2 linked regions of the Danio rerio genome follow. The protein of the gene in region 2 binds, or shares a complex with, the protein of the main gene of each other region. Links are inferred from orthologs where the notes say so. Each region holds a gene or a part of one and is shown on either strand. Other genes may lie near its edges.

Region 1 (4,397 bases), on a different chromosome or scaffold from region 2:
TTTAATAATAGTTATTAAGGTGGAAGTTGGGTTTAGGTTTCAGGTAAAATTAGGGATGCAAAATAATATCATACCTTATAACTACTAATGAACAGGTAATAACTTATTAATAAACAGGTAATAAGTAAGTACTTGATAGCATGAATTGTGACCTAAACTAAAGTGTTACCCACTTTTCTACTGTTATTCAGTGTAAACACACTAGATGGACGTGCACAATGAGTTCATGAGTAGTTAAGAATGGGTTAATCATGATGTGCCTCTCCAAGAAAAGTCAGGACATAGTTCATGATGGTTAAATTAGGCATAAACTAATGTGGTAAAAATACATTAATTAACAAACAATCATGCATTAACAAGTAATTACAGTAGCGGTTATTCACACATGAACTCATGTGACTCATGTTGTAGTTAAAGTAAGTCAACGATTAACACGCATTATGAATAATGAAGTAATGTTTAGTTTATATATTAATACATCATTATTCATGTACTGTTATTGTCAAGTGTTACCAATTTAGTCATGTCAAGACTCCTGCAATGAATAAATAATACCTAAAACACATACAATTGGAGGTTTATATATATATATATATATATATATATATATATATATATATATATATATATATATATATATATATATATATATATATATATATATATATATATATATATATATAACATAAATTATTTTTAGTAAATATAATAACATTCTTCAGTTTAAAATACGTCCAAGACATCACTTCATTGAGATCCACCCTAAAACTCGTCCTCAATCAGCTAAATTGAACCTGAAAGTGTGTTGTTGAATAAAGAAAGCAAGCCAATGAAAGCACATGTGGATGTGCACGTTTAATACAACACACTCGTTTCTGTCCCCGTCACCTACTGACCACCCGGTGTGCAAAACAGGAAGTAAAATCATCCTGTTTGCCTTCGCTTTAGATCAGAAGACAAACAAGCAGGATCGACTCACGATCAAGAGGTTAGAAACATATGTTCACACACAAACACACACACACACACACACACACACACACACACACACATTCTGAGCAAACAGTAACTCGATTCTATATCCATCTACTTCAGTACAGTGTGAAAGTTTGAGCTCATCTATGGAAGATACACAGAAGGATCCAACATTGTTATACCATAAACTCGATTTACTCGCTCTCCAACGCAGATGGTCATTTTGTGTCCCTTTATATAACCCAAAATGATGACAAATATTAGCAAAAAATAATAATAATCCACCGAGTGCCATCATGTCCTCTTCTCTCAGTGTTTCTCAGTGGTTCCTCAATCTCCAGTGGACGTAAAAGCAGACTGTTCTCCATATGCAATAAAACCAAGAATCTCCTATATGTTACATATTATACATGTTCAGTCTTCATCTCTTACTGATGTCTGCCGTTTTCTTCTGGGGGTTTTTCAGTGTCTAGGATGAGCTCTCTGCAGACTCTGCTGTTTTGGAGGTTTTGTCGTCTGAAGGGCATTCGCTGGACAAGCCCACGTCTCCGTTCTCTGTTCTGTTGTTCACTAAGTGCTTCCCTACAGCTGGAAGGATACAAAAAAAAAAAAAGCGGACAGTAAGGTTTTACATTTTTTTTAAATGATTACTTTAACAGACCATGGCTGTTTCTCAATATGCATTGTGTTCTCATATAAAGTCATCATCAATCCACATAGTTCAGTTCTAAAAAACTTAAGAACGGAGGATGTGTGAAAGAACCCGGATGTGTTTTGGATATCAAGGACCCATTGATGCAGACTTGATCGTAGAACTCGCTCGAGAAGTCTCAGAACTCATTGTGGCTGAATAAGTGAAGTTTATTTATAAACTAATTTCGAGAGGATCATGTGCTTATGATTGCATGCGGCTGGTCCTGCATTATCCAATTTATGATTCACCAATCAGACGATTCCTAAGCCTCTATAATCACTCTAAGTTCCATATAACAGCCATCTTTGTTTTGAAGAAACCCCCTTCCACCCCTACTCCTCCTCCTTTCCTAGACACGGTGGCCCAGTGGTTAGCACTGTTGCCTCACAGCAAGAACGTCACTGGTTCTAGTCCTTACCATGCCAGCTAACGTTTCTGTGCCGAGTTTACACCTTGTCCCCGAGCTCACGTGGGTTTCTCCAAGGTGCCCGGTTTCCTCCCACAGTCCAAAAACATGCAACTTAAGTTAATTGACTACTCCAAATCAGCACCTTAGACATGCTGCTAGTAAGTAGTTATCTCTTAAGAGCAAACACTATCTGTTCATTAGCATCTACAGCAGAAGAGTTCTCGAGATCTACCTGAGCTCAAACTAACCTCTCGCCTTGCAAACAGGAGTGAACCCTGGACTCGAGGATCTTATGAGCTCAGGGCTCTCTCCCGGGACAGCAAGTCAAACAAGCTTTATAAACAATCATCAACTAAGTGTGAACTCTTGAAAGGAGATAAGAAGTACAGCATTTCATATCTGTTTATTATTATAGTGCAGAGACATAACTTCCCTATATGAGATGGTGAAAGTAAACTTTAACATGAAAATCTTAATAAAGACAAACACATTAAGGGTGTTTATTTGCTGAAATTCGTACTAAAATATGTTTCATTTGTGTTAAAAAAAATCTAATTGTGTATTAAAAGCATCGTCAATGAACCATGATGCACCAAGATATCGAATTGAACTGAATCGATGGCATGATACGGTGGCCAGGAAGTGCAAAACTACATTACAAAGTGTGAAACACTTATACAAAGCTCGAGACAAATTTACATTTTAAAATTTTTTTTACCTATCATCAGACACATTTATATGTGTGTCACTTCCAGTGTGTGGTACATTACCTTTCCATAAGGAATCTGTAATTGTAAATTAGTTTCGGGACTTGTAAAAGTGTTTTTTCGTCTTGTTCATTTTTTTTAAAAAAATGTTAATTTATTTCGTCCTTGGTAAAATAGTTTTTCCTATGTAATTGTGTCTGATGATAGGTAAAATGTTTTTCAAAATGTAAATTTGTCTTGAGCTTTGTAAAAGTGTTTTACAATTTGTAATGTTGTTTTACACTTCCCGGCCACCGTAGCATGATAATCTTAACCGGACCGTGAGACCAGTGTAGGTTCACACCCCTAGCAGCAGCACTCCGGGCGTCCCGAGTTTGAATTCCAGCTCGAGGAACTTTCCCGAAATATATATATATATATATATATATATATATATATATATATATATATATATATATATATATATATATAAAAATATATATATATATATATATATATATATATATATATATATATATATATATATATAGATAGATAGATAGATAGATAGATAGATAGATAGATAGATGGATAGATAGATATCTATATGTCTGTCTATCAGTCTTTCCAATCTGTCTTTCATCCATCCATCTATATTCAAACTGCTTTCATCTATCTATCTATCTTTTTCAAACTGCTTTAATCTATCCATCTATCCATCCGTCCGTCTGTCCATCCATCCATCCATCCATCCATCCATCCATCCATCTCTCTCTCTCTCTCTCTCTCACTTCACTTTCTGTCAACATACTGTCCTGTCAAATAAAGGCAAAATAAATATTAAAAAAAAAAGAATGCTGTAATGTTTAAATAATTTTCGTGAAATAATTTAGATAAAATTCGTGAAGGTCATGTGACCATCTGGAAGAACGCAACATCTCATTTCTCAGAGGATACGTCCTGTGCTAGACCGAGGTAACTTGACAAGACCACTCTCCATAAGAATGCGAGTCCATTCTCTGTGTTCTTGGAAGCCATTGATTGGTTGAGCTATAAGCTAAAAGAAAAGCAAATGTTGTTCAGTGTGGTGTCAGGAACGCAATTCAAGCAAAGAAATTGGTCAAATAAAATAAAAATGTCTATTTCTTAGACTGACGGTAAAAGGGCTATTTACTAAGCTGTTCATTTTGGTGGTTAACAGCTTGCGTGGATTTACTCTGTACTCACTATTTACTTTCCCTCAAGTTGTTCCAAACCACTTTTTCTTTATTCTGTTGAACACAAAAGAAGATATTTTGTAGAAAGCTAAAAACCTGTGACTTCCATAGTAGGAAATACAAATAGTATGGAGGTCAATGGTTACATGTTTATCTTAAAATATCTTCTTTTGTGTTCATAAAAAAAAAATAAAGACAAACATGTCAAGGGTGAGTAAATGATGATATAAATGTAATTTTTTTGGACGAACTACCCCTTCAATTCAGTGTACTTGCCTTGTAGGGAGGCGGGGTCAGCAGTGCCATTGTTGTGATTGGCTGCTGATGCCTCTTCCAGCTCGTCCAGGTACAGACGGTAGCGGTGCCCGCTGTCGTCTTCATACTCCACATTCTCATCATCTGAGTCCACTTCTGGA
Region 2 (3,836 bases):
CTGGAACTACATTTGGTGATGTTTTCAATTGTAAATGTGACTTGGCTATTCATTTTCAGCACTCTTGGAGAACAGAGCTGTGTGAATGCATTTGTTGTTTGTATGTGTGCGGTGCGGTGCGGTGTAAGGAGATGTGACGCTGTGTTTCTTTAGGGTCCCGGTGAACTTTTGGAAAGGATAAAACAGGAGAACAAAGCTAATGGGCATCACAATGGAGACGCAGGCCTCTTCTTCACTAACCTGTATGTGGCTCCTGTACTGAAGGACATCAGTCTGAAGCTGAAGAAAGGAGAGATGTTGGCTGTTACTGGTTCTATGGGATCTGGGAAAGTATGAGCGCTTATTTTCATTTTTTTAGGTGTTATCTATTGCAAATACCATGCATAGGTGCAAGTAGTATCAATGTAAATATATTATAATCATTTAAGATGTTATAGTGAGACTACAGATGTCCATTCACAGTTAATAATAATGTTTAATTTTTTTTAACTTTTAATTAAAATTATTGTCTATTTATTGTGTATTACACACTTTTTACACAATTGTATATACAATTTATGAGATAAATTAATTAAATTTTTCTATTAAAATTAAAAGCAAAATTCTTATCTATTTAAAAAATGTTCAGTTTTGTAAATAGTAAAATAAATATTTAAAGAAAGAGACTAAACATTTCTGACAAATAGCTCTCACCTACAAAATCATTTATTTAATAATTAGATTTGTGATTTATTTACATAATTAAGAAAATCTAAAGTGCGGCAAAATATGTAATGACAAAATGACACAACCCATCTCTGGGAAACATTCACACACACACACACTCATAAACTTCGGACAATTTAGCCTACCCAATTCACCTGTACCGTATGTATTTGGACTGTGGAGGAAACCGGAGGATTTTTGAATAATATTAATTAATTATTTTGCTTTTAAAAAGGTGTTTGTACTTTTTTAAAGAAAAGAGTATTGTATCCACAAAGCTCTAATAACAGCGATTCAATAATTTAAATTATACTAATATTTATTTTGAATATACATATTTGAGCAAAATTTAATTTTATTGAAATTGATAATATTAACATAATACCTTACAATTATTAGTTATCTGTTATTAGTTATTAATTATATAGTTTGTACTTAATTTTATTTTGCAATTTATTAATTTAAACATAACTTAATATGTAAGGGGAAGAGTTGTCATTGCTCAGACGTGCTGTCTATATTTATAGAGCTCATTGTTGATGACCATCCTCGGGGAGCTGGTTCCCTCCTCAGGGAAGATCCGACACAGCGGTCGAATCTCTTACTCCTCCCAAACAGCCTGGATCATGCCTGGAACCATCCGAGACAACATCCTCTTTGGCCTGACCTACGACGAGTATCGCTACAAGAGTGTGGTGAAAGCGTGCCAGCTTGAGGAGGTATTGACAAATTCATCTGTCCCTCATTTCCTGAGCATTACTCCCATCTCCAGTTCCTCTCCTCTCTGGACAATAGTGTTGTGAAATTACTGGAATTTCCAACTCGATTTATCTAACTCGATACTTTGTAAAATGATGTTTTGTGATATGATACTCTTAAAAATATTGAGACTCTGTGTCACTGTTGATATAGTCGAGTATTAACCACAAACTTAATTTATATACATTAAAAAAAAATTAAAGACAAGTCAACAGACAGTAATAAATAAATAAAACAAATTACAAACAATAACACAAATAAATACAACAGAACAAATATACAGATGAAATAAGAGCTTAACATTCTTCTGGTACATGTACTGTATAGGCCTATTGCTTTTGCCTTTCCTATTGTTGTTTCAGACATCATTATTTGTTTAAAAGGTACAAGGTACTTTATTTAAAAGTAAAAACTGTAAATTAGCCAAAGTAAGTCAAGAGGGCTAATTTTCATCTGTTACCCCTGCAAGATTTTAAAAAGCCAACAATAAATCAAAAACAGATTATTACACATACAACATCAGTAAAATTACATACAACAAAATATTAAAAATTGCTAACAATTTCATAAAATAACAAGAGAAAAGAATTACATTTTGTCAAGAATAAAAGTAAACTAAACTGAAACTAAACTAAACTGAAATTTAACTCTAAGCTGCTTTGACACAATCTACATTGTAAAAGCACTATATAAATAAACATGAACTGATTTAATTTCTTTAAGTGCAATAATAAAATCTCACATTTTGCTTTATTCACATCAGATACACGTAGTTTTGGTAACAATAAAGTTCACTCGCTATAAATAAGCCACAGCTATATCACCCTACAGCCCAAGACCGGTTACTCACTGAAGCTAAGCAGGGCTGAGCCTGGTCAGTACCTGGATGGGAGACCACTAGGGAACACTAAGTTCCTGTTGGAAGTGGTGTTAGTCAGGCCAGAAGGGGGCGCTCAACCTGTGGTCTGTGTGAGTCCTAATGCCCCAGTAAAAGTGAAGGGAACACTATACTGTCAGTGGGCGCCGTCTTTCGGATAAGACATTAAACCGAGGTCCTGACTCTCTGTGGTCATTAAAAATCCCATGGCACTTCTCGTGAAGGAGCAGGGGTGTAACCCCGGTGTCCTGACCAAAGTCCCTCTATCGGCCCTTACGATCATGGCCTCCCAATCATCCCCTTTCTACTGAATTGCCTCTATCACTGTCTTTCCACTCCATCAATAGCTGGTGGATGCTGCACACTGGTGGTGGTGTGGAAAAACCCCATCATGATTGTGAAGCGCTTTGGGTGTATGGCCATACACAATAAATGCGCTATATAAATACACATTACATTACATCACATATATTCTTTTCCCAGTTGAACAGCCACTTACTTTACTTTCATGAATTTCAGAAGAAGTTGATGAATGAACATGTTGTAAATCCAGCAGCTCTAATCTCTCCACTGATGTGCAAACTAACATGGCGGTGCCTATCACCCAACATAGATCAATTATTTTATTAAGCTGTTTAAACACCAAACTAAGTATTTTAACACGTATTTAAAAATTCTAATAGCAGATATTTTTAATATAATTAGGTTGTTTGTCAGTATTTTCAGAAAAGGGAAAATATTAACAATAAAAAGTTAGATATTGTGTTTTTTTTAAATTAAGGCGACATGGTGGCTCTGTGGTTAGCACTGTCGTCTTACAGCAAGAAGGTCACTGGTTCGAGTTCCAGCTGGACAAGTTGGCATTTATGTGTGGAGTTTGCATGTTCTCCCCGTGTTCAGGTTTCCTCCAGGTGCTCCGGTTTCCCTCACATTTCAAAGACATGCGCTAAAGGTGAATTGGATGAACTAGATTGGCCATAGTGTATGAGTGTGTGTAAATGAGAGTGTATGAGTATTTCCCAGTACTGGGTTGCGGCTGAAAGGGCATCCGCTGCATTAAACTTATGCTGGATAAGTTGGTTGTTCTTTCTAATGTGCCAACCCCTGATCAATAAGGGACAAAGCCATAGGAATTATTTTTAAAGTTATCTGACATAAAAAAAAGTCAGGAGTGCAACAGAGAACTCAATAGAGAAAAAAAGATGTTCAATCAGTTTTAAATATTAAGTTCTCCAGCATGTATTACGCTTCAATATTTAAACTAATAAAACCTGAAACATGCAAATGAGCTGCTGTAAACTCATAAAGGAACAGGGTGAAACTGTGACGGGACAGATTAGATGTGGTGTGTCGAAAACCACAACAAACTGCTTCAACTGGCTTGAATGAGAGAGATTGATATTTTTGATAATACTTGCTAGTTTAATTTCCTTTATTTTCTGACCTCACTCATCTCCTTTCTCAACCTGAAGCTCTTGCTGTCATGCTGTTTGGC

Evidence for each region.
Region 1: the proteins of cftr (region 2) and gopc are in contact, whole or in part, in an NMR structure (PDB 2LOB), measured with the Homo sapiens proteins. The link is inferred for Danio rerio from reciprocal best matches to the Homo sapiens genes CFTR and GOPC. Residues at the interface, in NP_000483.3 of Homo sapiens: Val1475, Gln1476, Asp1477, Thr1478, Arg1479, Leu1480; in NP_065132.1 of Homo sapiens: Gly298, Leu299, Gly300, Ile301, Ser302, Ile303, Thr304, Gly305, Glu308, His309, Glu317, His319, Thr347, Lys348, His349, Lys350, Glu351, Val353, Leu356.

Annotation. Positions count from the first base shown.
Region 1 is NC_133195.1:45,574,014-45,578,410, reverse strand, and holds the end of gopc (Golgi-associated PDZ and coiled-coil motif-containing protein), read right to left. Parts: coding exon 4,258-4,397; intron 1,564-4,257; coding exon 1,445-1,563; 3' UTR 827-1,444; downstream 1-826.
Region 2 is NC_133193.1:22,079,260-22,083,095, forward strand, and holds part of cftr (cystic fibrosis transmembrane conductance regulator), read left to right. Parts: intron 1-153; coding exon 154-330; intron 331-1,232; coding exon 1,233-1,424; intron 1,425-3,836. UniProt on the Homo sapiens protein: Epithelial ion channel that plays an important role in the regulation of epithelial ion and water transport and fluid homeostasis. Mediates the transport of chloride ions across the cell membrane.